4 linked regions of the Tamandua tetradactyla genome follow. The protein of the gene in region 1 interacts with the protein of each later gene in a pairwise test. Links are inferred from orthologs where the notes say so. Each region holds a gene or a part of one and is shown in the gene's direction. Other genes may lie near its edges. The genes, in order: MGAT5B, DMRT3, KRTAP26-1 and HOXA1.

Evidence for each region.
Region 2: the proteins of MGAT5B (region 1) and DMRT3 interact in a two-hybrid assay, tested with the Homo sapiens proteins (2 studies listed by BioGRID). The two-hybrid records come from large-scale screens. The link is inferred for Tamandua tetradactyla from reciprocal best matches to the Homo sapiens genes MGAT5B and DMRT3.
Region 3: the proteins of MGAT5B (region 1) and KRTAP26-1 interact in a two-hybrid assay, tested with the Homo sapiens proteins (3 studies listed by BioGRID and IntAct). The two-hybrid records come from large-scale screens. The link is inferred for Tamandua tetradactyla from reciprocal best matches to the Homo sapiens genes MGAT5B and KRTAP26-1.
Region 4: the proteins of MGAT5B (region 1) and HOXA1 interact in a two-hybrid assay, tested with the Homo sapiens proteins (2 studies listed by BioGRID). The two-hybrid records come from large-scale screens. The link is inferred for Tamandua tetradactyla from reciprocal best matches to the Homo sapiens genes MGAT5B and HOXA1.

The regions. Positions count from the first base shown.
Region 1 is NC_135332.1:17,795,702-17,803,464, forward strand, and holds the start of MGAT5B (alpha-1,6-mannosylglycoprotein 6-beta-N-acetylglucosaminyltransferase B), read left to right. Parts: upstream 1-4,750; coding exon 4,751-4,843; intron 4,844-5,009; coding exon 5,010-5,113; intron 5,114-7,736; coding exon 7,737-7,763. UniProt on the Homo sapiens protein: Glycosyltransferase that acts on alpha-linked mannose of N-glycans and O-mannosyl glycans.
Region 2 is NC_135328.1:97,227,340-97,234,592, reverse strand, and holds the start of DMRT3 (doublesex- and mab-3-related transcription factor 3), read left to right. Parts: upstream 1-4,240; coding exon 4,241-4,694; intron 4,695-7,253. UniProt on the Homo sapiens protein: Probable transcription factor that plays a role in configuring the spinal circuits controlling stride in vertebrates.
Region 3 is NC_135336.1:89,679,498-89,685,416, reverse strand, and holds KRTAP26-1 (keratin-associated protein 26-1), read left to right. Parts: upstream 1-4,759; coding exon 4,760-5,410; downstream 5,411-5,919. UniProt on the Homo sapiens protein: In the hair cortex, hair keratin intermediate filaments are embedded in an interfilamentous matrix, consisting of hair keratin-associated proteins (KRTAP), which are essential for the formation of a rigid and resistant hair shaft through their extensive disulfide bond cross-linking with abundant cysteine residues of hair keratins.
Region 4 is NC_135327.1:96,059,774-96,067,226, forward strand, and holds HOXA1 (homeobox protein Hox-A1), read left to right. Parts: upstream 1-4,445; 5' UTR 4,446-4,503; coding exon 4,504-5,149; intron 5,150-5,586; coding exon 5,587-5,942; 3' UTR 5,943-7,118; downstream 7,119-7,453. UniProt on the Homo sapiens protein: Sequence-specific transcription factor. Regulates multiple developmental processes including brainstem, inner and outer ear, abducens nerve and cardiovascular development and morphogenesis as well as cognition and behavior.

The DNA.
Region 1 (7,763 bases):
TGCATCGGGGAGATAGCTCTCCCCACTAAACGGCCTCCACGTGGCTCGGGGTGCTGGCGTCTGTGTGGGGCTGCTTGTTCCCCGCACCGCGTGGCTGTTGATGATTTGTGCACGATGACGGTAAATGTTGTTATGCCATTATTTATGCCCTGCGCACCAGCAAGGACAGTGGCCTATTGCCTCTTAATGTGCTGTCTGCTGCTGCAGTCGGAGCACATTAAATGGGGATTTCAAACATGGTAAACTGCTTGTTTCTATCTTTCCTCTTGCCCCGCCCCCCCCACGCCCCCAGGACCAGTCTGTGAGCTCCACAAACAATAGTGAAAGGCTGGGAGTGGGGGTGGGTGGGTGTCAAGGCTCCAATGCCCAGGGGGCCCCTTGGAGCCAATGAGGGGGTGACAAAGGCCCCAGGAAACAACCCCCCCTTCCCGCCCCCAGCATGCACCCTAGAGTGGAGACTTCCACCCAGGGACAGAGAGGTGCTGTGCAGATGTGGTGGGGGAGAAGGCAGAGGGTGGGAGGGGAGAAGGGAGAGGGTGGGGGTGGGGGCTGCCCCCCCACCCCCCTGCCAAGCTCGTGGTTCCCTTTATAGCTCCAAAGAGCAAGGGGCTCGGGGCTCAGCATCTGATCCGCCCTTGACTTCAATGCTTGGATGAGCCCTCCAGCAGGAGAGCACCCCAATTCCAACTGCCCTGTTCCTCCCCCATCGGAGGTAATGGGAGATTTGTCTAGAACTGTGGTTCTCCACCCTAGCCAGTTACGTTGGGAGAACATGTGGCACTTAAAAAAAAAGTACCCTAACCCCACCTCAGATTCTGAATCAAAATAAGGACTCGTTTTTCGGTCCTGCAGGCGGGTCTGCTGAGTGGGCAGGGTTGAGGAGCACAGGTCTCTAGAGCAGGTCGTGGTTTGGATTCCCTAGAATTAGATTCTGAGCAAGGATTCAACAGCAAATAGTTTACTTGGGACATGTTCCCAGGAACATCGACAGGGGAGGAGACATGCAAGGGAAGGAAGCCAGTGGGGGGTGTTACAAGGCCCGTCAGGACCAACAGCTACTGGAGCTCCGACCCGCCAAGGAGCCCTGGGGGCCAGTGGGGAACAAGCTTCAGAGTTTCCCACTAGAGGAAACTCCGGGGGTGGAGCTGCTGATCCATCGCTTACCTCCTGGCACTTCGGTCTTGGCCGGGGCATTTTCTAGCATCTTCCCTTGGCCAGGAAAACACCTCAGACAGAGAGTCGAAGGTCTCCGTCATCTGCCTTTAGCATGCAGAGCTGAACGTAGACGGACTATGAGGAGGTCCCAGCGGCAGCTGCTACAGGCAGACAATAACAATAATCAATAATCATAACCACCTGGGATGGAGGCCTCTTAGGTGCCAGATAACGGGCTATTTATATGCATTCACCATTCTCAGTTCTCGTAACAACCCTACCAGGCAGCTACAATAAATAGCTTCAACGTACAATTGAGGGAGCCGAGACACAGAGGTTGTACTCAAGGTGGCATAATGTAGGGACTCAATTTTTCTCTAACGTCTGCAGCACAGTGGAGAGCAAGCAGGACCACTGATGCTGAACTTCACTGCAGACGGGGCTGAGAAAAGGGAAGCAGACTGAGTGGGACAGGCAGCTGGACAACTTGGCTCACAAAACACCATCCATTTGTCCTCGTTTTAACCTCACTGCTTGGCCCCAAGTCAAAAGGCAGAGGCGACCTTCCCCGTCCCCCCTTCAGAGCCCAGAGGTGTAGGGAGTACCCTCCCCATGGCCTTGTAGGGAGACCCCCATCTTCCACCTTCAGGGGAGGCTTCTTCTTTGGCCTCCAATGCTAGGTTTAAATGCAACCCCCAAGCTTATGGGAGAGAGACAAGCAACTGCAAGTTTCATTTCATTATTTATCTAGTTCTCATGGACGTGGCTTTGGCCTTGACATCCAGAGTTTGAATCATTGCCTAAGTGTTGGCAGAAGTCGGTGCCCCACCACTGGTGTGATTTAGAGGCACAGAGAAGAACCTGGCCTCAAATATCCCCTTCTCCAGCCTGCCACCACGTGTGAATTTCCCACCACCATTTCTCACTCTTCTGCATGAAGTTGCCGTCACTGTGTCCTTGTTACATGCAAATCTGTTACCCAGCTGGAGCAGCGCAATAATCTGCCAACATCAATTTACCTTTCCTTCTCACATTAGCAGACAGCAAGGCGATGAGATAATGGAACACAAAACAGGTGAATTTTGATGAAGAAGGAGCAGGGAAAGCAGGGAGCACATCCCCGGGAGTAAGAAATGGCTTGGGAGCAGGGCTGGCAGGTGGCAGGACAGACAGCAAAGGGGCTTTGCCTGGGGGTGAGACCTGAGTAGGAGGGGGGTGTGCGGTTCTCCTCTCCTTGGCCATCAGCAGCATCACTGTCTCAATGCACCGTTTTACCCTTGGCCAGAGGTGTGGCTGCCCAGCGTGGGGCACGGTGTGCTCCTGGCTAGGGAAGGCCTCCGGAAGGCTGCTAGGGCCTGCGAGCTGCTCCCTGCATATCTCTGCAACTGAGAAAGCATCTCCAAAGTCGAGAAATGGATGCTGAAAACCTAAGTTCTGCAGATTTTAGAGTCGGTGGCAACTTAGCGAATTTCTGGTCATTTTCAGTTTGTAACGGAGGCATCTGGCCGGGAGACTTGTGTGAGTGGAGCAGGCCGCGCTCTTCAGTGGGGGATCTGAGACCGGAACCCAAGTCCCCTCTCTGGGCTCTGCGGAAGGGCCCCAGCGCCACAGGGCCGAGTGTGTACTCAGACCCGGAAGAAAGGGGAGCCGCGGAGTTCCTGCCCAGGGAGGGACAGAGGATGGATCAGCGCTACCAAGCGAAATCCGACTCGGTGTGCAGCGGCGATTCCCGTGGGCGCAGCGGCAGGGAGGGAGGGCGCGCCGTAGCCCCGGGAGGAAAGGAGGGTCCCGGCCAGGGCCGACCTCATCCTGGCCGGGCAGGAGCCGAAGCAGCGCTCGGCCCTCGGAGCTAGTGGCGCCCGGGATGCTTCCGAAGGCGGGCTCCGGGGAGGTCGCACGGCCGGGGGAGACAGAGACCCTTGCACGGCGAGCCCCGCCTGCCCGCCCGCCCGCCTCCCGGGGCCCCGGGCTCCCGCCCCCCGGCAGGTGGACGCACGGCCGCGCGATGGCCACGAGGGGGCGCGGGCGCGCCGAGGAACGCGGCGGCCACTCCCGGGCCGCCCCAGCCGCGGCTCGGCTGCCTCCTCCGGGGAAACAATGCGGCGCCTCCGGGCGTAGCGCCGCGCGGGGCCGGACGCCGGACAGCGACCGCGGGCAGCCGAGCGGGCGGCGGCGGCGGGGCCGGGCGGACGCGGGGCGCCCTCGGCGAGCAGCATGGGCGCGGCGCGGCGCGGGGCCGGGGCGCGGTGCGGCCCGGAGGCGCGGAGACCCGGGGCTCGGGCAGGGGGCCGCTCCTAGCCGGCACCGAGGGCGCGGCGGCCGGGGATGCGAGAGCTCGCGGCGGGGAGCCCGTCTGCGCGCCGCGGCGCCGTCCCGCCCAGCGAGCGAGCCGGAGCAGGCAGACGCACGGCCGGCGGGGTGGGGGCGCGCCGCCTCCCGGCCCCCGAAATGTGAGGCGGGCAGGGCAGAGCGACGCGGAGACGGCCCGGTCGGATGCCCTCGCCGCCCTCCGGCAGCCGCCGCCTGCCCCTGCTCCTTCCTGCCCAGGCCGCGCCGACCCCGCGAGCCGCGGCCGCCGAGCCCCCGCGCCCCCAGCCCCGCTGCGAGCCGGCCTCAGGCCGGGCGCGGGTTCGCGGCCCAGACGCGGCGGGAGCTGGGACCCGGACGGCGCGTCCTCGCCCAGACGAGTTTGAACAATGATCACGGTCAACCCCGAGGGGAAGATAATGGTCAGAAGATGCCTGGTCACTCTGAGACCCTTTCGGTAAAGTTCTCTCCGGGTGGGCGCGGGGAGGTCGTTTTCCCCGCAGGGGTCGCGGGCTAAGGGTGGGCGAGGTCGCTCCCCGCGAGGGTGCACGTCCGGGCGGCAGAGGGGGCCGCCGCGCCCCGCCTTGGGGCAGGAGGAAGGTGGCGGTGGAGATGCCGCCGGCGGGGCTGGGGCTACGGGTGGAGGTGGGGTGCGCGTGGGGCGGGGTACCGGTCCCGAGTTGGTAGAGGGGGCAGAGGACTCTGGTATGCTGGTGGGAGCCGGGGCGCAAGGCACCCGGCCGATGACCAGGGCCCGGGCAGAATTCCAGCCAGCGCGCCCTTCCCTGCCCCTCGGGGCGCCGCCCCACCTCCCAGCCCGCCCCACCCCGACGGCTCAGCGCAAAGTTAGCGCGGCAGTGCTCGGGCGGCGCCGGGGGGCGCATCCCGCCGGCCGCCCCTAGATCCCCCACCCCTCCGCGTACTCCTCACAGCGGGATGCGGGCCTGCCCAAGACGGGAGGGTCCCCGAGATTAGGGTGAGGAAACTGGGGGGAGGGGGGAGGATTCGTCCCGCCCTTGGACAGTGGAGAGGCAGAGGGACGGCTGGAGCCGGACCGCGGCGGGGCGTGGAGGTCGCACTGAGGCAACACCTCTCCTCTCACCCGCCACCTCCGGGATTTCAGGCCTGGCAGGGTCGGGGCCGCACAGGACTCGCTGGGACTCTGCTGGTCCGACCCCCTGGGTTCCCCTGGGCTTGGCTGGGCAGGAACCGCTTCCTCCCCTCCCAGGCGTCCAGGAACCCGCCCGCGGTGGGGGTGGGGGTGTCGCCGAGGAGGGGGCATGGTGCCATGGGTGTCCGGGGCTGGGATAGGCACCCGGCCAGGCCACACCAGACTCTGGACAAGGCCACAGGTGGGACCCGGTGTGGGGAAGAGCTGCGAGTTCAGGGGAAGTGCCCAAGGCTTGGTCTGAGGGAAAGGCCGGGCTTGAGACCCTCTCTCCGTCCCTCTGACCCGAGACCCCCCAGCCCCTAGGCGGTTACTGGTCCCTCCCCTGCACTAGGCTGGGAGACACTGTGGCTCCCCCAGCTCACACCCCCCCCCCCAGAACAGCCTCGATGGGCTGTGCCTGTTCTGTGGGGCCGGGGAAACGGGCTCCGGGGGTCAGCAGGGGTCAGGCCAGGCCCACTGCCTGGAGCATGGGGGAGAACCGTAGAGTTGGGGGTCTCTGAGGGCAGACCACGGTGGGTGAATGAGGGGGGGTGTCAGGAGCCCCCAGCTAAGTTTCCCAGGGGATGCAGGGTGGGAACCCAGCCTCTTTCTGCACAGGGCCTTGCTCCTCCAGGGAAATCCTCAAGTCCCTGACCTGGCCAGGCCAGAAGAGGAGCCCTCGCCCCGCCTGCCCCCACCCCAGTGTCCTTCTGGCCGCGGAAAGCCCAGTCCAGCCCAGCCTCTGGCCAGAGTGGTGCCCGGATGTGTCCCGGCTCAGGTCCAGCACCATGGACAGCATCCACTACCCGGCGGGGCCTCCTGGCTCCCCTGTGGGTCCTGCCCCCCAAAGTTGGTTCTTTCTGGCTGTTACTTGAAGGCTGAATTGAGAGGTGGGGTTGCATAGGTCCTCCCACGCCCCACCTCCCGAGTTGTGCCGTTGTGTTACTTCACCTCAGAGTCTCCCCAGGCTGTTTGGAGACTTCCAGCCTTCAGTCGGGTCTTCCCATGGGGGCTGGGCCTCCAGTCCCATCACCCTCACTTGTTAATCCTCAAGGACAGGCTGGGGGTCCTGCTTCCCTAGTTTCCTCGGAGCCTCTGGCGGAGGCTTCTTGCTTCTGGAAAGGAGACATGGGTGGATGAGAACATTTTAACTTGAGTCTACAGTAAATGATCCCGTGGTTGTTTTTTTCTAGAGGTGGGGGGTCACTTTATCCCATGATTGGGGTCTTGCAGAGAGAAATGCAGATGAGATGTGTTTGGGGCAGTTTTCGGGCCCCTGTTAAGACAGGGCACCACCTGGCTGGGTTAAGGGCACAACCTGGCCTGGAGGCCAAGGTGTCACAGCAGGGCTTTGGACCCAGCAGCCCTTCAGCTGGGGATGCAGGGGGATGCAGAATAGGGAGCTCGAACTGGGAGGCATCTGTTCGCGTCCCCAGGCTGAGGGGCCAAATAGCCGGTTTCCCTGGGATCTCCTGGGTGTGTGACCCTCCCCCTATGCTGTCCCCCTTGGCTGTTGTCCCGAGACCTGCTTGACTTTATTTTGGGGACTGCAGGCCCTGAACCTCAGTCCCCAGCCTCAGTGGGGCTCGATGTGGTGGTCCCTTTGAGGGTGCCCGCCCCTCTACTGAATTATGTCTCCTCTGCCCCCCTGCCAGGGGCCGTCTCCCAGAGGAAGCCCTCAGTGCCATCTCTCCTTTGGGGTTCTGGCCCCTCTTTGATTTAACCTCCAGCATCTTCCTTTAAATATGGTTAGGGATTTTGTTGTGCTTTTATTTTCTTCAATTATGTGCTCTCTTTAATGGACAAATTTTAATTAAATACTGCTGTGCCAGTTTCAAATAATGAAGATTAAAATGCATAAAGCAAGTGTTGCGTAACAGTGTGAAGTGTGGGGCCTAGGGTGGGGAGAGGAGGTGGGAGGGCTGGAGGGCTCTGGCCCAACTTGGGGTCTCCCCCTGGTGAGCCTGGCTCCCCATGAGATGGGGTTCCTTTTTCTCACCTGGGTTGGGGGGGTTCTACAAGCTCATCGAGTCCTCTGATAGATTCAGGGTCCCAGAACTGCTGCCACCCCAGGCCATGCTGGGGAGCTCATTCCTCGTGTTTTAGGACCTAGGATTTCATATCCAGCCGTGGGACCTGGGGTGAACCTGGGACCTCACAGTGAAGCAGTGGGAAGCTTGTGGAGGGTTCTGGGTCTCATTTCCTGCTCTCTTCCTGGCACCTGGTAGAGACACCACTGTGTGTGGAAAGAATGAACCAGAGTTCACTTTTTGGCCAGCTCTTTTGCCCAGGTGACAGCGCACACACCTGCATGACACCCTGTGCACAGGTGGTATTGAGCCTGCCTTGGTCAATCAGTGGTGCAGATGGACAAGCTCCTGTGTGCTTTCCTGGCCAAAGATGTGTGTATGGTAGAGGCTAGGTGCAGTAGGGGGCCAGACGTCTCTGTTCTTGGAGCCCCCTTCGAGAACTGCTCAGAATAAGCTTAGGGAGGTGTTCAGGCCAGCTCATGACTGATGAAAGCCCCTGTGTATACAAGTGCTGGGGGTGGCCCAGGCAACTGATGGCCTCCAGGTAGGTCTCGTCTGGGCCAGTTACTTGTCCTCTGCTGGCATCAGACTCCACTGTTTCCATCTATTCCAGAGGATCTCAAACTTCAGCATGTAACAAACTCACCTAGAGTGCTTGTTAAAGACTGCTTGCCCTAATCCCAAGAGTATCTGATGTGAGTCTGGTGGGTGGGGTGGGGCAAGAATGCATTTCTAACAAGTTCCCAGGTGAAGCTGGCAATGCTGGTCTAGGAACCACACTTGGAGAACTGCTGCCTTTGATAGCCTCTCACTTAAGGCAAGAACTTTCCCCACCTATACCTAAGCGTGCCTCATTTGCTCCTTGTGGTTTTGCATGTGGTTTTTGCTCAGTTCCTTGGAGTTGAGCTTTCTTGATCTTAGGGTGATGAGGTCCCAGTAGCTCAGCTCCCTATTCTTTCATCCCTTGATCCATTGGTCCATCCTTCCATCCACCCTTCCATCCTTCCGCATGTACAGAGCCCCTCCCACGCAGGAGTGCTGTAAGCGTTGTACAGCTCATCTGCCCGTCTCACCCTCCTTGTTCCTCTCCACAGGCTTTTTGTCCTGGGCATTGGCTTCTT
Region 2 (7,253 bases), on another chromosome or scaffold:
ACGCGGTCTTGGGTCCGGAATGGGTCTGAGAAGTCTGCACAGGCGGGAGCCACAGCAAACTAGAGCTTGGACAGTGTGAGAACGTAAAGGATGCAGCGGAGCCTGCCGGCTCTGCACGAGGCCCGCCGCGTCGCACGCGGTTCGGTGCCAACAACGTTTGCTCCCCAAGGTCTCGGCCGCTAGAGATCCAAGAGCAGTCGTCGTCGACTGCGATCCATCTCCCTGACTTCCAAAATTATGTGAGTCACGGGCTGCCTAGGACCTTCCTTTTACTCAGCGGCGCTCCCGGCCCCGCCAGGTGCAGCTTCTCTCGGCCTCGTGCTCTCCATCCCGCGCCCGGGATTGTGGCTTCGGGGATTGCATGCGGATGCGCACGAGTCTTCTCCCCAGTCAACCGAGGGAGAACAAGGACATTATTGTCACCCCAAGAAACCGATTGCTAGTCGCTCCGCTGCTTAGACATCCCCCCCCCCTTTTTTTAATTTGAAGCTGGCCAAAGAGCGATGCGGAAAGGCACAGTCACGGTGAGAACCGAATTCCCACGCAGAGAAAAGGGGGCACGTTTTTCTGCCTTTACGGAGTCTTTCTGCACACCCAGGCCCCAGCGTCTGCCTGCACCAGCGTCATCGTGGTTGCGCTTAAAACGGCAAAATAGTAACGGTGACCTCCCCCTCCATGAGAATCCAGCAAACAGAAAATTTCCCAGTGTATCATACATCCGGGATAATATGTCCTTTTGATTGTTACTTGGACTGGGGGGTGGAAAGCAGCTACCAGGACTCTAGATTTCGACTCAGAACATCCTCATTTCCTCAAGGGCACATGCATCCTGAGCTTTTAGAAGTACACTCTGTGTGTTAAGAGAAAGAATTATATACATACATTATCTTTCCCCATTTCGCTATTAATACCTGTCACAATTCTGTCCGGTTAATTGTGGTTTGAACACATACATACACACACACACACCAGAAGAGAGTGTGCAAGTAGATCCACTTTAGAGGTTACATTTGCTTGTAATCCTTCCTCCCTCCCTTTCCAATTTCTTTGATGATTTTTCCCATAAGCGTATAAGCTGCCCGGACTTAGTAAGAAGCAAGCCGCTCCTCCTAAATGTTATTCGGACCATATGCTTTCTACATTCATTCCCGCTCCTGCTTTTCTTCTCCTGCTAACTGCTAACACGTTATAGTCACCTTGAAATTTCCTCTGCTATTTTCCAATTAAAAGCTTAATAGCCCTGGAAACGGAGTTCATGTGGTGAAGTTTACCATAGCCCCTTGTTCTGAAAGGCTTTCTGCTGGGATCCCATTATGTGCTTGAATAAACCCTTTCTGCAAACAGAAATGGGACTCGGGGTTGTCAGGTGTTGGGTTACAATAGACTTTGAGGCAGGGGACGTTTTACCAACATAAATACAAACCTGTCCCTATAGGGAGATGTTGTCAAATACTGGGATATGGAAAACATTCCCATCAAATATGAGAAAAGGATTACTGCGCTATATCAAATGAGTATTTAGAACTCAGCCTCCGATGTGCACTGGAGTGAAACGGGGGCCCAGGACCAAATAATGCCCAACTGTTTGAATGGCAAAGGGACAGGGTGGATAGGTGACCGAGGGAGGAAAGGGGGTCGCCTTGGTAGTGGGAATAGCCCCCAAACCTGTTGCAGAGCTCTCTGCTGCTTTCTTTTTTTAAAAAAAATTCTTTATTCCCAAGTTCATTACATTCCCTCGTTTTTGCTGACCACTTGGAGGAAGTCGGGAGAAATTTGGCTTTGAAAAACTGCCCTTGAACCCCGGAGTCCCAGAGCCCCTGAGATTTCAGCGCGAAAGTTTCCAGATTCGGTGTCATTCGCGGCCCTCTAAATCTCCCATCACGTGAAGCGTCTGGCTGCCAGCACCTGGTTTCCCGCCCTAAGCCTGCGGTGCTGTGGGGTGACATATGCCTCGCGCTCCGAGAGTTTGAGAGGTTCCTTCCAGCAGTAGTGTTTCAGGGCTGGATGTTTTTCTAGCGAAGGTTGGAAGGAGTGGAGGGTGGCGCGAGAAAGCGAGGAGACGCAAGGCGGAGGAGTTGGTGCGCAAGGCGCCGGCGTGATCCGCGCCGGAGGTGCCAGGAGTCTCCCGAGACCCAAGAGCGCGGGCGCCACGCCGCCTCCTGCCCGCCAGGCCATCGGCTTGGCTTTGGGGGGGAGGGCTCCCGGGGCTGGGACTCCAAGGCAAGGTCTTCCTGCTCATGGCCCACTGGGACAGTCCCGGATGACTCCGGGACACCTCGGAAACGGGACGTATGAGACTGCGAAGGGCTTCAAAGGAAACGCTCACAACCGGGTTCCCTTGTACACTCCCTTCCTTGAATCTCCCTACCAGGCTGCTAGAGCGCCTGGCGGTGCTTTACTTGAATTCACAGCAAATGCGGAGGAAAGCTTTCGTATTTGCTGCTTGCTTCCAGGGTAGTGCAGAGAAAAGCGGCTTCCCCGAGGGGACAAGGGCCGTGGTGCACAGGAAGGGCCAAGCATTGCAGTGAAGTTCTGTAAGCTCCCGTCTGGCATTCGATTCTTCCAAGCTGGAGGTGAGCTCAGGTTCTGCTCCAAGGCCTTGCGGACCCAGGGCTCGGGGTCTTCCAACATCCCCCTTCGCACAGAACCGTTTTTGCTGCTCGGCTCCGACTGTATCCGCTTATTTTGCATTGTTTTGTTTTGGGGGTGGGTTGGCGATAGCTGTCCCAGTGCCTTTGTCGCGGTAGTCGGCCTTGGGTCAAACCGGATACTTGCAGATTAGAAACACGAAAATGAAGTCTAAGAAAAGTTGTATGCGGTCATCAGATGCAAAGGCCGCCTCCTGCCCACACCTAGAGACATTATGGGGAGCAGGGAGAGGTGGCTCAATCCCTTATCTATAATTAAATCACAATCTGTGGGATTTGGATTGAGTGAAGCTAGCTCTCGGTTGAAGGTTCACTGGCAGGTGGGGACAGAGGAGATCATACCCGGGAACTTTACCGGCGCTAAAGTGGCGCCTCTGTCCTTTCTCTGAAAGTTTTAGACCCGGCACTTAGCAAATCCCCCCACCCCCACCCCCACCCCCACCCCGCAAGCACCTCTCCGGCCTTTGCGGACACACGAGGTTTTTCTACTAAAACATGGCGGTGGGGAAGCAGTAGAGAAATAAAACCAGTGCCAGGTAGGGTGTGTGTGTTTTCCCCCTTTGAAACAGTCAGCAAAACGAGTTGTCATCCTTGGGCTGAAAGCTTTCTAATGCATTCATTTTTTTCTGCAACAAAAGACAAAATTCTGTTGCAAAAGGAAATCAAGAAAAAAACAAACTTCCCCGGACCAAAACCACCCCCCCCTCCACCCCGACTTGCTGGACCTGGCTCTCCCCAATTTATAACCCCATCGACCCGCGCCGGATCCCCGAGACACCCGCAAATGTTCCGGTAGACTCCGTCCCTCAGTCCTAGACGAGCCTGGTTTCCGTGGCCAAGCGTCTGGATAAAAAGCGGCCTCGGGCTGTATGCCGCCAAATCCGGCCTAGAGAGGAGGGGAGGGGGGAGCGAGGGGGAGCGGCCACCTCACTAGCCTACACGCACCCCCACCCTCGCCGGTCCTCCCCTTCCCCGCCCCACGTGCACTGCCGCGACTCGGAGCGCTGCAGTCCCTCCCTGCCGCGGGCTGGGGAAGCAGAGGGCTTGGAGGAGGGGGCTGGGAGCACCCCCGCGACAGTGGCCAGGCAGCAGGTGGCAAGGAAGGTGAAGTGCGGGGACCCGAGGGGCGAGAGCGGGAAGGAAGAAGGAAGGCGTGGGGTGGGGTGGAGTGGGGAGTGCAGGAGACAGCGACCCCGGGGGTGGGGGTGGCGGTGGGAGGGAGGAGGGGTGGAGGGAAGGCGACGGAGGAGGTGCTGGGCTGGGGAAGCGCACAAGGGCTCTGCAGACGTGCTGGCTCAGACCTTAACCAGAGCTCTTGCCGGCCCCTTGCAGCCGCCGCAGCGCCTCGGCAAGGGAGGACGCGCTGGCCGGGCTGCGCGCCCAAAGCAGCTGCCGGCGGAGACGAGGCTGGCGTGGGGATTGTGGCGGGGCACGAGCCGGTAGGCCGCAGCCGCGAAAACCGCGGGAGAGACTGCTGCCGCACCTCTGGCCGCCCCGAGGGCCCGTGGCCGCGGGGATCTGCGGGACCAAGGACCGCACGGAAGGGCGGCCCGGAGCGGAACCACTAACCCGGCCGTTTAGGAGCCCGGGGCATGAACGGCTACGGCTCCCCCTACCTGTACATGGGCGGCCCGGTGTCGCAGCCGCCGCGGGCGCCCCTGCAGCGCACGCCTAAGTGCGCGCGCTGCCGTAACCACGGAGTACTGTCCTGGCTCAAGGGCCACAAGCGCTACTGCCGCTTCAAGGACTGCACCTGTGAGAAGTGCATCCTCATCATCGAGCGGCAGCGAGTTATGGCGGCTCAAGTAGCGCTGCGTCGGCAGCAGGCCAACGAGAGCCTGGAGAGCCTCATCCCGGATTCGCTGCGGGCCCTGCCGGGGCCCCCGCCACCCGGGGACGCCGCCGCCGCCCCGCCGCCACCACCGACCTCGCAGTCTTCGCAGCCGCCGCCGCCGCGCCCCGCTGCTGAGCTGGCCGCGGCAGCCGCGCTGCGCTGGGCCACCGACCCCCAGCCCGGGGTGCTGCAGGCACAGCTCGTCAAGCCAGGTAAGAGCATCCGCGGTGCGGGACACCGAATGGGGCACGTGGGCATCTTCAGAGCGCCTCCTGTGGCTCTGCCAGGGAACCCCGGAGGCAAAGTTTGCGGGGGGGGGGGGGGGGGGTTGGCCTGATTGGGTCTTTCCCCGCAACCCATGCCAGGCGGGTTCTTACTCAACGGGCAGAAGCGGCCTTGAGTCTGGACCCCGCGCGGGTGGAACAGAGGCACCCGCGGGAAGAGCGCCTTCCGCCAGCTACACGACGAGACTGTGCCACTGTGCGTCCGGATAGCAACATGCCTGCCCTAGGTTAAAGGGGAAAATGTATGTAAATTTAGGCGAGTGAATGAAGAGGCCACGAACGACTGTATTACCCCACCCCCACCCCATCCCGCGCAAACGGCACTGTGCGTGCGGGTTTCCCCAGCGGCGGGTGTTTTAGAGGGTCTCGCATTTGGAACTTAGGACAGGTTGGTGTAAGGAAGGAGCGGAGGCTCAACGTTTGTCTGAATCCGAGCTGGGCTGAGACGAGCCCGGTGCTTGTCGGCCCAGGGGAATTGGAACAAGGACACAAATCTCCAATTTGGGGGAAATCGGAGCCTTTCTGGGGGCACACTATAGCCTCCAACCTCTTGAAAGATTTGGTGAAAGAAGCCTCTCAGGATTGATAACAAGATTCCAAAAGTCTTCTAAGCTGATAGGGGAGACAGAATCTAGTGCACCCAGGGTCAACTCCCTTTGCAGAACCACTCAGACAGAGTCTTTAATACTCTTCCGTAGGCCATCCTCAGCTGTCCTTGCAGTTCAGAGGAAAACCAAAAAACTACCTACAAATGAGGACGGCCCCCTTGGGAAAGCTCTTTCCCCAGTTCTAGGAGGGCCTGGTCATCAGGCTGCTAAGCTGAAGGTTTAGAGCAAAGACTGTGTCACCTCTTCTTCCATCTACTCCCCCTTTCCCTTCTTCTCTCCAGTGTCTTAGAGAGGGTTGTTCTTCCCTAGTGGTGTACAGATTCATGCCCCCCCCCCCCCCACTTCCTTCTGTTTCTCTCCTAATGGCCTCCTGACCTGGCAGGCACCAGTTGAGCCCCTTTCCTCCCTGGGAATTTCTAGCTTACTTTGCTGCCTAGCTCAACCGTTTGATTTTTTTGACTCCTGGAAATCAGTGGGCTTGTGTTTCCCTTTCACTGGAACAAAATATAGGAAGGAAAAAAGCCCATAGTCTCAGAGAGGGGATTGGGGGCATCACGGATGAATTAGGAAAGGGAAGGTCCATAACCTTCCTATCGGTAGAAGTGAGGTAGAGGCTGCTGCTTGCCCACATTTCCCCACCCCAACCCTCTGCTGAAGACCAGTCCCCTTGGCTTACTGGAGGAAGACTCTCAGGGGCACCGATTCCTGGGTGGAGCTGGGGAAATGAAAGTGTGTTGATAGGTGGTCTGGCAGGTACAGTTATGCTGTGCAGTCCTGAAGCTCTGAGGACAGCTTGTGTGAGGAGTAGAACTCAGTATTTTTAGGACAGAAGGGAGTTTGCTGAATAGAGATTTTGTAAGTATTTAATCCAAGATATGAGTAATATCCCCCACTTATCTCTCTTTTGCCTGTCTCAGCTCTTCATATTTATGGAGTTGCCTCAGAGGAATGGGAGGGGGGAGAAAGAGATTTTTTTTTTTTGGTTTGTTTTTTTCTCTCTTAGGTTAGATTAGAACAACTAACTTAGAGAGTTTAGTCTCTCCTCTAGAAGTTGATCTGTGCCAGTAACTTTTTTATTTCCAGTTTCCCTGGCTGCATTTCCCCCAGGATCAGAGCCTGAGACCCAGTTAATGGCAGAGGTAGCATTTGCAGTGGCTGCTGCTATGTGCCTGAAACTAGTCATTGGGTCTTGGGGGTCCTTGCCCAAGGGGGGATTCCTTTCATATCCTATGCTGTTCATACCATCCTTTGGGATAGCCAAAGGTCATGATGTCTAGAGTCACAAAACCAAGAACAACTCCCAGATGGGGGCAGTGAGTGCAGAAAGGAGAGTGGAGTAGCAACTCTGGCAGAAGGATATATAGCTTTGGGGAATAAAACAGGGGGACTAATTTCAGCTGGACAAACCAGACCCGGGTCTCTCCTTCTGCCAAGTATTCAGGCCTGAGCTCTTCAAATTGAAAGCAAGTAATTGCAAGGGAGGATAGGGCTTACCATAAGGAGAGACCAGAGTGACGTCTTTTGTGGGGGAAGTGAACCTTCAGGAACCTACAGCTCAGTTTCCAGGTGGTCACGCTGCATACCTTGTACATCCATTTAAACAACTTTTGCTTTCTTCTTTCTATTGGCTCCACTCCATAATTCTACTTTATTATTTTTTTAAAGCTGAACCACCAATCCAGTGGTAGAGGGGAGAGCAGGAAAATAACAGCTCATTCTTTTCCTTAGCAAGGCTTTGTAAGGAGAAAGTCCATTTGACATTTAAATTTAGAGAAAACTACTTGATTGAGAGGGCCTGTTGCTAAAGATATAATATGCATTATGTATTTCTGCATTTCTTATTATATACTTGTATGTAACATATCTTGTATGTAACATA
Region 3 (5,919 bases), on another chromosome or scaffold:
AAAAGGGAATGAGGTTCAAATCATGTAGGAATCATAGCTTCCACCCTCAAGAAGATTATAATATAAAAAATATCAGTTGAATTAGACTATACTCTGATCATTCACCTAGAACTTACATCTCTGGCCAGATAATTATACAATCTTCCCAACTGATAATAATTCAATTATTTTGCACAAATTCAATGATTTCACAATAGCACCAAATGAAGGTGCTATTATTAGGTCACTTGGTTCCTCTTTATTGTGCCTTAGCCTGCAATGGTCTGATTTCGAAAAATTGGTTGTTTCCTCTAGGCCAAGCTAAAAAGAACATTAATCAGAGATATTGATTTGCACAGCAGGAAAATTGATTAACTATATGAAGTTCTCCTGAACTTCATTCTATACTTATGTTCTTTTACATTCCCTGCAAGTTGACTTTCCTCACAGAAGGAAAGAAAGGTTTATAAAGAAGATTAATGGCTTGATTAAGTACAGGTCAATTTTCATTTGTTAAGGAAAAGCCAAGTTCTATTTGTGAATGTTGCATTTGTCAACAAATAATTAAGTATTTGCCAGATTTCCCAATATATGCTGGGAACAATGATAATACTTACTTTGTTTAGAAATGTAATAAGGAGACGTAAGTTAATACATTCGTGGTGGTTTGAAACTGTACGTACCACAGGACAACATGTTTTTAAAGTTAATCCATTCCTGTGGTTATGTACCCATTGTAAGTAGGATCTCTTGATGAGGCTGCTTCAGTTAAGATGTGTCCTACCTCATTCAGGATGGGTCTTAATCCTATTGCTGGGGTCCTTTATATAAACAGAATGAATACAGAAAGAAAGAAGAAAGCCACAGAAGCAAGAAGGTGAAGACAATGAAACCTATAAGAGAAGGGAGAGACTAGTAGATGCTGCCATGTGCCTTGACATGTGACACTGGACCAAAGGATCAAAGGCAGCTGATCTTTGGGAAGAGAGCATCACCTTGATAATGCTTTGATTTGGACATTTTTATCAGCCTCAAAACCACAAGCTAATTTCCATTGTTAAAAGTCAATCCATTTTATGACATCTGCTTTCACTAGCTTAGATAACTAAAGCAATATCTAAAACATTTAGAATAGTGTCTAGGGTATAATAAGGATGCAGTAAATAGTGGCTAATAAGAGCCCATAATATAGTTGGGAAAAATAAGACATATATAGAAAACAAAAGGTTTTCCTTGCAAGCCAAGGGGTGTGTGTGTGTGTGTGTGTGTGTGTGTGTGTGTGTGTGTGTATGCGTATTAGGCAAATCTAACTATAAATATTTAAAGGCTGGAGAAAAATTGGTAGGAATGGTCTGGAAGGAATTTGTAAAGAATAGGGCAATTTAACTGGGGTTGAATAATGGAAAATACTAAAGAATGATTTTTCCAAGTGAGAAGCCAATGACAAGTGAACAGATAATGTGAAACAAGGGTAATGTGGAGTAATTAATCGCATGGGCCAACAAGTCAAAAGGCAGAAAAGGGTCTCTACTGGGAAGCAAAGGAAGGACCACCAAGTGTTTGGGCAAATTCTCTTTGGCTAAATGAAAGTCAACAACATTTTTCTGTATAAGAGTCATCTGATGAAATTTATTTGAGGGGGTAATAATCTAAATCCAATGTTCAGGATAAATATAAGGCAATAGGTATAGGAGCCAATGATGCCAACAAGAAATCTATGTATTTAACAAAGATGCAAATCTCTGAACTTGAGTGATGGCAGTGAAAGGGAGGAAAATGGATGAAAAAACAAAATTAATTTTATGTAGCATTGAGGGAAAGAAACATTAAAATAGGTACTTCCTCATTTCGATCTGTGCTGTATTTTGGAGTAAGGCTGAATGTCACAAAATATTGCTTAATCTCAGCATTCTCTTCTTAAAATCCATTTTAGAATAAACATGCCTGCAGAACAAAATGTCAATAACTTTTCAGATGATTAAATCTTTCAGCATATGAATACAAATTTAGTTACTACAACTCCTGCCCAATAACCCTCAATTGAAATCACTGGGCTTTCATTTTTTCTGTCTTTAAAACTTGACCATAGCCTGATGTGTCCTTCCCTTCCCCAAACCACTGGTCATTTCTTCCCATTTTTCAAAATTAATTTCAAATGCTGAATTTTAGATAAAGCCAGTTTATTATGTCTGCTCTTCTCTGAATCTCACTAATAGAAAGTGGTATACAGTCATGCATTGTGTATTTGTTTTACCACACCTACAGGATTAGGTGTGTCTCAAGAGCAGAAGCCAATTGTATCCTGTTATCATCTCAGAATCTATCATAATGTTTTGCACATATTTGATACTCAATAAACATTTGGTGAATGAATGTATGAGATGCCTGTCATTTATTATCATATCCTTATTGTTGCAATTCTCTGAGTCTTCTTTACCTATAAGAGAGAAAAATTTGAAATTCTACCTCTAGAGTAAGAGAAGTAAAAATCCTTGGCTCCTTGAAGAAAAACTAACAGTGTAGGTATAAATGGGGGAGCAACACAGGATACCCAATTCCTCATAGTATACCTGGGTCCTTGCATCAGAAAAAGAGCCCCCAAACTGTAGTTTATAGAAGCCTTTTAAGGCTTCTCCTGATAAGGCTTCTAATGTGATGCCCAAATAAGCCCTTTCATTTTAGTGGCACAGCTACTCTTAAATAACACCAGTTCAATATATGTTACCTTAAGGTGTAGTTTACTTTTGGGACACCATATTTTCTAAAAATCTATAGATATTTTTATAGGATTACCTCTCAATACCAGAAAAAAATTAAATAGCCTCATGGTAGTACTCTAAAGCAATTGAACCCAAGGGCAGTTGTCTTCAGAATGGCAGACGGATGTCAAAGCAAGATAGCAATAACAAACAAAATATTCTTTTGTAGTGTCTGATGGTCACATTAACTTTTTAACTATTTCATTATATCTAATCCTCTAAATGTAATTTGAAAATTGATGTTAATATATTCATTTCCATACAAATGATATTGGTAGTGACTAGGGTTCAGAAGAATTATGAAAATTGTCCAGGACCTCACAGATAGTAGATGATCATATTAGTGCACTTTGCATAATACTATTTTGGAAAGAGGGAGGAAAATTGTTTGGGGGCTCAAGGAGCATTATTTTCAGATATTTTTCTTAATATCAATTGCCATACTTTCTAAATTCACGTTTTCTCATATAAACACTTGGAATAGTAAAAATACTGTTCAGAATTATGAGGATAAAGTGACATTACACCACAATGGTCTATCACATAGTAGGACTCAGCAAATGCTAGTTACCTTGCCTCTTTTTCGACACCCATTTATTGGATGGAGAAACATTAACATATATACTACATATACACTGCATATGCATACAGATCCCCATATGTGGGTGGACTAATGATACAGATGCTAGGTACTTACTTATAATATAGAATAGCAGACATAAAGCATCAACACACAGTTTTCATAAACATTCAGTTAAGATGGCTTTACCCACTACCAATGCCATTCAGTTGATGCATTCAGGATTTCACAAGACTCAGCCAGCCGTGAGCACCTCTTTTGAAATGAATTTCACAACTAATGTAAGGAATAAAACAGAATCTATGTCTTAATCATTATATCTTATTTTTTTTTTTTTTTTTAAAGGAAAGACAGAGAGAAGGAAGGAAGGATAGAAGGAAGGAAGGAAGGAAGAAAGGGAAACATCTTTTAAACATTTTCTTGTTTTATTGTATTCTGTTTCTCCGTTTTTGTTACATGGGCTGGGGCCGGGAATCGAACCGAGGTCCTCCGGCATAGCAGGCAAGCACTTTGCCCGCTGAGCCACCGCGGCCCGCCATTATATCTTATTTTGACCAAGAACGATAATTTCCAGTTAGAATATGAGTATACCATGAAATAAATAAGGCCTTTCATAGTCATGAAAAATGGCATGTCATCCAATTTTCTTTAAGCAGTCTGTTTATTTGCTTTTGTTCATAGTAGAATCCATAATTTTAACTAAGCCCAACTACTATCATCTATATTAAAGAATATCTCAAACAAAAACCAAGCTTCCATCTTAACTCAATTTATTTATTGAAGTGAATAAATGAGAACATTTTGTGATAAAAATGTGTGTGGGAAGCCACCTTCTACTAGTGTTCTCAAATAAAACAAAGCACAAATTTGGCACATAGAGTTTTTCCATATTATACAAGTTTTATACTCTTTCTACCCCAAGCCATATGGGTTATAGAATTAACCACTTTCTTTTTCAACTTACTTGCTTCCATGCTCCTTACTTTGGACAATTTCAGAAAAGTATAAAATTTCTCCTAAGAGTGAACAATTTGCCACAGATTCAGAGAAGTTTGCTACAAGAGTTAAAGACAATTCCAAGAGAGGAATTTAAGAATGTTTGTGCAATGGTGGTTATAACTGGAAAAAAATGCATGGGCTTCTAAAGTGTCTGTTTTGTTTGGATAATTTAAGGAGACATTCTATTAATATCCAGCCACATGGGTTTATATCCACATTTCATTGACAGAAGGCATTAAAAAGGACATCTAGTTTTATGTGGTCTCTACTTCCTGTGCTATAATAAAGAGTTCTGATGCAGCCTCATACAACAAGGAAGAAGGGAGTCTGTATACAGAACCACCACCTTCTAGCTATATATAAAGGATCAAGCCTAAGAGAGGTATAATCAAACTCAGGCACTTCTTTCCATTGAACCACAGCCTGCTCTTCATACCTCACGATGGCTTGCCACAACTACTGCTCTAGAAACTACAACATGGGATCATTCAGAAATTCTTGCCACATTCCTATTACCTCCTCCACTGCCCACTGTTCTACTAATGTGAGATCTGGAGATGTCCTCTGCTTACCCAGTAGCTGTCAAGGCAGTATCTGGCTCCTGGACAACTTCCAAGAGACATGTAGTGAACCAACCAAAGAAACCTACGGAGAACCAACCAGTTGCCAGCCAGGCATCTGTGTTACCAATAACCGTGGAACTTCTTGCTGCTCTTCCACTGCATACCATGTGCCCAGATCCTGCCAACGAACCAGCTTTCTTCCTACATCTTCCCACAACCCCAGTTCCTGCCTTCCGGTAACCTTTAGACCTCTGAACTACGTACCCAGCAGCTGTCATCCACTCAAACCTCTTCTCTACAGCTTCCAGCCCGTAAGCTGTGCTCCCAGTGGCTATAGACCTTTAAATTGTTTATCTAGCAGCTGCCGTCCCCTGAGCCTCCTCACCTATGGATGCCGACCCTTAGGTTGTTTGACCAGTGGTCCTCCACCACTTAGTGTTGTGTCCAGCAGCCTCAGACCTCTGCATCTTCTCTCCCATGGTTGTCAACCTTTGACTCATGTGGTCAGCACTTGTTGTCCATCCTACTGAGCGCTGGAACGGTAACTTCCTTGTTCCAGACAATAATCCTGCTGAGGAACCAGAACAAACATTCATACTTCATGGACTTTTTGCTTCTTTCCTAGTAGAAACTGCTTTTTCTTGGTTTTACTGTGTCCTATATAATACCAGTTGCTTCTTTCAGATTTTTAATTGTTTTCATTTCTTCATGACCTCAAATAATTGGTTTACAAGCTCTTCATTGCCACTCATGTGTGAGAAGAGTTTATTTGCCTTATATTGTAATAAAGTAGATTCAGTCAGAATTAAGAATCTGGTTCATCAATGTGTCTTTGTTGCTTTATCTGACAAAGAAATTACCAATCTCACCTGCTTGCAATCTGAATGCATAGGAGAGATGATATTCAAACCATATGTTCATACTTGGAAGAAGGGGTATAGCTTGGTGGCTTATTCCACAAGCTGCTCTCTAGACCTGTGATCCTAGATATTCTTAAGAAATGTACATACCTGCTGTTGGAAGTTATTATGAAAGGGCA
Region 4 (7,453 bases), on another chromosome or scaffold:
TATCTTCACTTTCTTTTTATTTTTGTGTTACATTAGTATGCATTGTCATGCATATTTTTTGGTAGGATAAATTCTCCTTTGCTACAAATAGCTTTCATATCCCCCCCCAATCCCTTTCTTTTTCTTCTTTTAGTCTAACTCAGTAAATAAAATTCTGGTCACAATTTATCTTCTTTTTCAATTTTAATATATTTATAAAGGGGGTATAGTCAAAATTTTCATTAGATAGCAAAAACAACAACAAAAGCCAGAAAATGGCTAGGGCTTCTAAGAAGTGTTTTTTCTTTCTTTTCTTTTCTTTTTTTCTTTTTAAGGGAATAGATTTGGTTTTCAGATTTGAGGTTCAAGCCATAGATTTGAATTGGTAATAGAAGCAGAATTGGGCCGCGATGAGTTGGGCCAAGTCGAAGCTTTTGAAACTGAAGAAATAAAGTGCCTACAGAAACCTCCCACTCAGGAATGTGGAGTTTCTTGAACAAGCTACTAGTCTCTAGGTCATTAAGCAAGTTATCAACATTTCATTTATTTATACACGTTTGTTTCAAACATCTATGTTCTCCCCTACCCCCACAAGTTCCCGCATATTTTCAGTGTGGTTGATTAGTCTTCCAGATGTGGATGAGTCCAGCAAACAGACCTAAAAAATAGAGAAAAACAAAAATAAAACAGTTGTTGCTAGCTGGAAAATGCACTTCATTTTTTTCCAATCTTCTGGTCCAGTCACTCGTGGGGTCTTTTTTATCAGGGTCAGAAAAATCAATATTTCATTCTTAAATCAGTTTACATTGCAAATAATGGATCATCAAAGCTTTGAAGTCAGGTTAGGAAGTTGAGATTTAAAAAGGAGTGTGTTTGTCATCCTAGGTTATAAATTAACCCCGTTTTTAGAAAGAGAAAAAAAAGCACTTTAAAATGAAATATCAATAAAACGTGATCTAGGGTATGTTATTGGGTTGTTCTGTCCCCCCCCTCCTTATGTCTCCCATGTTTATTTTTCTCTTTCTGAGAAATGTTCTGATGGCAACTTACTTAGCGTGAGAAAATGCAGTGTGTAAGCAACATGTGTGCGGGGCGGGTTGATTTACGAAGCCGGCTCTTAACTGTAGCGGCTTGGAAGTTATAATGAAATACCGATCTTTCTCCATGGGTTTGCTCCCCACCTTCCCCTTCTTCTTCAACCCTCTAAGTCCCAACAGCGGCATAGGCATTTGTGTGTGTGTGTGGGGAGGCGGGGGGTTCGTGGGACCGCGGCCGATTTCCGGCCCCTGGCGCGGAGCGAAGCAGGGCAGCCCGGACCAGGCCAGGGTTGCGGGGCTGCTGGGTGCGATTTGTCCTGCACTCATAAATCAAACGCTTTCTATGAATGAGAATGTCATCAAAGAGATCAATTGCAGGAACACATGCACAAATAAAAATCCTCTTACGTAGTTGCCGGGGATTCCCGTCCGAACGCATTAAGTTAGAAGGCGTTTAGTCATAATTCATTTTTATTGCTCTTTTAAAACAACAGCTTGGCTGAGCCGCAGATGCCATGAACAGCTCCGGGACTCGGCGGCGTTTTGTCTCCTCCTGGCTCCTTCCCTTTCTAGTAGAAAAGCTTTGAAAGAGGCGCTTTGAGCCCAGCGAGCCGCTTGCAGGCGATTATTTTAATCGTGACCAAGCTAGACTTTTCATCCTTTTGCTCTGGGCGTTTAGACACTTTAGCTTGTGTGGTGGGGCGCGGGCCTGTGTGCCCAGACCGCCAAGCATCTCCTTCACCGACTAATCGGCCCCAGAATTTCTTAGTGGGGGGTGGGGTGGGGTGGGGGTGGGATTGGGAAGGAATCGAACTACGGAAGCCTACCGGCTCGAGTCAGAGGAGGCTGCCTTTGTGAGCAGCGCGGGAGAGCTGCGGTCCCGGACGCTCTCAGGCGGAGCCCGCAAGGTTGCGAGAGCCGGGCCTGCCGCTAGCTGTGCGCGGAGACAGACGGGAGCCGGCCCGAGTGCCTGCGGACCTGTGTGTTGTGCGAGTGCATGCTTTTGACACCAAGAAAACCTCCCCACCCAGGCTGTCTTAGTAAGGAACCCAGGAGAGAAGGGAGGTGGAGGGAGAGGAGTGCGGAGGCCGGGAGCTAGCAGAGGAGGCGACAAGGCTGAGGCCGGTGGCGGCTTTGTGGAGGACGCCCTGCGGCCCAGGGGGGTCGCGCAAACCCCGGCGGAGGAGGCCAACAAAGGTATAGGAATAAGGCAAGGGGGGAGAACGTACGGATGAGCTTTGGCTCCGAGAGTAGATCACCCACACTGCCAGCTCATACTCTCCACCTCAGCCCCACCCCCACAGGATCCCTTCTCCTCCTATTCCGCTGCAGGCCTGGCGCTCCCAAGGAAGCCGCTTCCAGGCGAGTCGTCTTGCCTTTTCCCTTCTCCAGAAGCTGGAACTGAGGCAGTAGTGACCTTTTCTGTACGTGCTCCCACTTAAACCAAGTTTGAGGATGGGTCAAAGTTCACAGAAAAATACCATTCCAAAGGAAGTGTTTGGGGAACCCATTTTTTTTTTTTTTTTGCTGCTGCTGAGGGAGTCCAGCGTTAAAGGTCTGCAAGGGTTTTCCCTTCTGAGATGACAGATTTGGGGGGAGACTTTATATTTGGAGAACAGAACACAGGGGCCTGAAAGGGTGCCTAACACATTTGAAATATGCCTGCCTCAAGCAAAACATTGTTGTTCTAACTGGGGGAGGGGAGGTAGGCAAGAAGTAGGAATCCCAAACCCACATACAGTCCTCATAATAATTTTCATCTGTCAGATTCAATGTTGTAAACACCATCAGAGTAAAATCTATAGAACAGTGGCTGCAAAGCTTCTTGGCTGATTTCTGCTACCTAAGCATGCATCAATTCTCTGCCTCTGGACTTTTCTCTCTACAAGCCCGTGGTTGACTCGAAACCTAATAGTAAATAGCAATTAACGACACCATCAGTATCAGGGTAGGATAAGTGTGATGAAGACCAGGACCTCTGGCTTGGGATGATGCTCAGATTTGCACGTGCCTCTCTGGGGAAACACTTGACTCACATAGGCAGCTACACAGTAAGTTGGAAAGGGGAGGAGGTATCGTTGGGGAAGAGGAAAGTGTCTAGTGTCCACCATCAGCCATCTGTCCACCACCCCTCCCACCTGCTAGCCCCCACCCCCACTCCAGACATGCAATGCAACCGAATCTAGTGTGTGTGTGTGTGTGTGTGTGTGTGTGTGTGTGTGTATGGGGGGGGGTGTTGGAGGAGGATCTCCTACTCGTAAATCCCCTCTCCAGAAAGAGAGAAACGAAGGAGAGAGGAGAGCTGAGCACACTTTGTTGGAGCTGTGGTCTGGCCCTTCGAGGCCCCACCCGGAGCGCGCAGGCTCCTGGGTCCTGGGGAGCCGGCAGATGGTCTGCAGCGCGCGGTTCGGCCCCTACGCAGGCCACGTCCGCTAGCGTCATCTCTCTCCCCCGCCTCCTACCCCTCAAAATCCAGCGGCCGAGTTGCTCGGGATCCCGAAGGGCTCCCGGAGCAAAGCTGAGTGGGAAGGAGAAAGGGGCGGGAACGAGGAGAGAGAGAGAGAGAGGGTGGAGAAGAGTCCGGCCATCCCAGGCCTTTGCTGACAAGCTCTGCTGCAAGGGCTCACCCGCCCCGGGGCGTCGAATTACATAAGCTCCTCATTGCCATGCTAATGGCAACGGTGTAGGGCGGAAAAGGAGCATCAGAGACCCTCCTAGGAAAAGGGAATTTTCTTTTCTTGAGCTCGCCGCTCCACACCCATCCGGGATTCCTCTCAGTCAGTCCTCCGCGCACTTCCTTCTCGGCTCGGAGAGCTGGTGGCCCAGCCTCGCTCTCCACCACCATTTTCTGCATTCCTTACCGCCCCAGGGTCCCGGAGCACGGACAGTGCAGTAAAAGCGATCCGGGAAACTGGGGCTTACGCAGGTCTTGTTTCCTACCCTTTCTGTTCCGCCCAGACAGTTCCGGCCGCTTTATCCCTCACCCGAGAGAGCCGAGAGCCCTCTTCCCTTCTCACCTTTCGCCAGTTCATCTTTCTGTACACAGCTGAGAGGGGAACGCTGGTGGGGGATGCCCTCAGCCCCTACTTCCCGCAGGGGCGGGGGCCGAGCGGAGTTGAGCGCGCGTGGAAAGCAGCCTCTCCTCCCCTTCGCCCCAGTGCTCGGAATCAGTCGTAGCAGCCGCCGCAGCTACTGCCACGGCCTGGGCTGCCTAGGGGGGCGACTGCGCGTCACCTAGACGGAGGAGCGCCGGGGATTTAAATGCCACTGAAACAGTGATCCATCACCGCGGGAGTCGGCAAACTTTCGCAGGGGGCTCAGCGATTGGCTGGCACAGTCACGTGCCCCTCCCTAGAGCCCTCCGCCCTCCGCCCCCTGTCTTGCGCACTGTACATTCATATCATTTTTCTTCTTCGACCCCATGGAGGAAGTGAGAAAGTTGGCACGGTCACCCAGGGCTTCGCAGGACCTGGTCACTCAGTGACAGATGGACAATGCAAGAATGAGCTCCTTCCTGGAATACCCCATTCTCAGCGGAGGCGACTCCGGGACCTGCTCAGCGCTAGCCTACCCTTCCGACCATGGGATTACAACTTTCCAGTCGTGCGCAGTCAGTGCCAACAGCTGCGGCGGCGACGACCGCTTCCTAGTGGGGAGGGGTGTGCAGATCAGCCCTCCCCCCCACCATCACCTCCACCATCACCACTCCCAGCCAGCCACATACCAGACTCCTGGGAATCTGGGGGTGTCCTACTCCCACTCGAGTTGTGGCCCAGGCTACGGCGCTCAGAACTTCGGCGCGCCTTACAGTCCCTACGCGTTAAATCAGGAAGCAGAAGTAAGTGGTGGGTACCCCCCGTGCGCTCCCGCTGTTTACTCTGGAAATCTCTCATCTCCCATGGTCCAGCATCACCACCACCACCAGGGTTATGCCGGGGGCACGGTGGGCTCGCCTCAGTACATCCATCACTCATATGGACAAGAGCATCAGAACCTGGCCCTGGCCACGTATAATAACTCCTTGTCCCCTCTCCACGCCAGCCAAGAAGCCTGTCGCTCTCCTGCGTCGGAGACATCTTCTCCAGCGCAGACCTTTGACTGGATGAAAGTCAAAAGAAACCCTCCCAAAACAGGTCAGTCCCCGTCTACTGCTGGCCGGTGGATGCTCTTTGATGATACTGGAAGAAGCTGGTATGCTTAGTTTGCAAGGAAAATTCCTAATGATTTTTTTTTTTAAGTTCTTGCTTCCGACAGATGTTGTAGGGTATGGGGAGATTGCCCAGATGTTTTGGGGCAAAGAAGGCTCTGAGACACGTGTTTCCAAGTGGGCTGAGTTTTAGAGGTTTTGTAAGTAGGAAGGGGAGGGGATGTATTTTGCTAATATCTCTAGGCTTCATTAATCACTCGTCTGACCACGTCTTTACACTTCATCACTCACCCTTCGTAGCCTGATTTGTGCTGAGAAGTTCTTGATCTCCCTTTGCTCTAAAGCCTGTAGGGGATAAATGTCCCTCATATCAATTTTTAAATTTTTACCTTTTTCCCTCACCAATTCCTACTCTGTCTCCAGGAAAAGTTGGAGAATATGGCTATGTGGGTCAACCCAATGCGGTGCGCACCAACTTCACCACCAAGCAACTGACGGAGCTGGAGAAGGAGTTCCACTTCAACAAGTATCTGACGCGTGCCCGCAGGGTGGAGATCGCTGCGTCCCTGCAGCTCAACGAGACCCAGGTGAAGATCTGGTTCCAGAACCGCCGAATGAAGCAGAAGAAGCGAGAGAAGGAAGGGCTTCTGCCCATCTCTCCGGCTACTCCGCCCGTAAGCGATGAAAAGGCCGAGGAATCCTCAGAGAAGTCCAGCTCCTCTCCCTGCGTTCCCTCCCCAGGATCTTCTACCTCAGACACCCTGACCACCTCTCACTGAGGAGGCCACCCCAGCCCAAGGCTCCACAGTCCAGGCTTCTCAGGCTGGGACTTCTTACCCAAAGCACATTCTTAGCTTATCTTCCTTTCCATTGACAGTCTCTCTCTTCCTTTCTGATCCTATCTGGGAACTCCTGGCCGAGTTAATGTGTTTCCAGAGAGTTCTGGACCAGACCTGGTGGGAGATTTACTCCTTAATCCAGATTGGGTGCCAGCATCAATTTTCTGATGGTCCCTACAACCCCTTCCTGCCTTTTAAGGGTATTTCCAGGAACCTACTATTCCTTTCCAGATGTCCTTTGGAGAATAGACCCCTTTGCCAGCAGAAACATATCAGGGAGAGGCTTCTCATCTTTTATCAATCTGTATCTTTACAGTTGTCCCCTACTCTGATCTTAAAAGTAGAATAGAAAGACAGGAAAGAGTTCAGGAGCTCATGAAGAATAGATGCACTATGAGTGTGTTTACACAATTCATTCATTCCTTAATTTAATTCAGTTTCATGTATAAGTTGGCTTTGTAAATACTTTGACTGAGAGATTTATCTTTATACAGATTTTCTAGGAAAGTTTAGTTTAATTGACTCAAACAGGGTGGGCAAACTCTCATGGCTCCTACAATTTTATATGTGATTATAGGTGAAAGAATAAATTTCCTTATTGAAACCCAATCGGATGCCTCAGAGGATAGCCTTGATTTGTTCTTTCAGTGAGCTAAGAAGGCCTGTAGAGCACAAGGTTCACAAACCTGGCTTCCTGTATTAAATTTTTCCCCATCCCCTTTTTTCTTGCTTCTCTGGTTACTTTCCATTAAAAATTTGTGCTGGATTATTCTGAACCTAAAGGCATTATTCAAACCAGCTTCTTCCTTCCACAGTTACTGTAGCTGGATATGATGTATTTTCAGCTCAATTGTTAATGTGATGGATGGCACAATGAATGTATATTTTGTGTGATTGGTGAATAGTCTTTTGCATGTCGCACAATGTTTTGATGTCTCTGAAGTACCACACTGAGTTCTATCAGTTATCCTTGGTGAGCCTTTGATTTCCCATTTTCTGTACAATCATGACTAGCTCTGAGATCCTGGAGTGATGTGATCCGGAGCAGAGTTTACGGGTCTTAAGATGTCTGTAATAAATATATTCAATTTCAGGTATGCTTAAATGTCAGTGTATTTGACTGGGATACAATTTGTTGATTCCTACGAAGTTGTCTATTTCATTTGGGGATGGGGAGAAAGAATGATATGAATTTTCCAAGTGGGCCTTTTCTTGCATAAAAGTGAATACCCTCCATTTTCATGTAGCTGAAACTTCTTCACGACTTTAATTTCACCAGATTCTGGTATGACACCTTACCAATGTTATTTAATAGCTTGATTTTCTTTAAAATAACAACAGCTTCTTTATAATAATTGACATTTATAATGGAAAAAATGAACGGTGAGGAAATTTATGAAGAAGAGCTATTGCTGAAACAATCATGGATACTTCCTGGGTCAAGTGCTAAC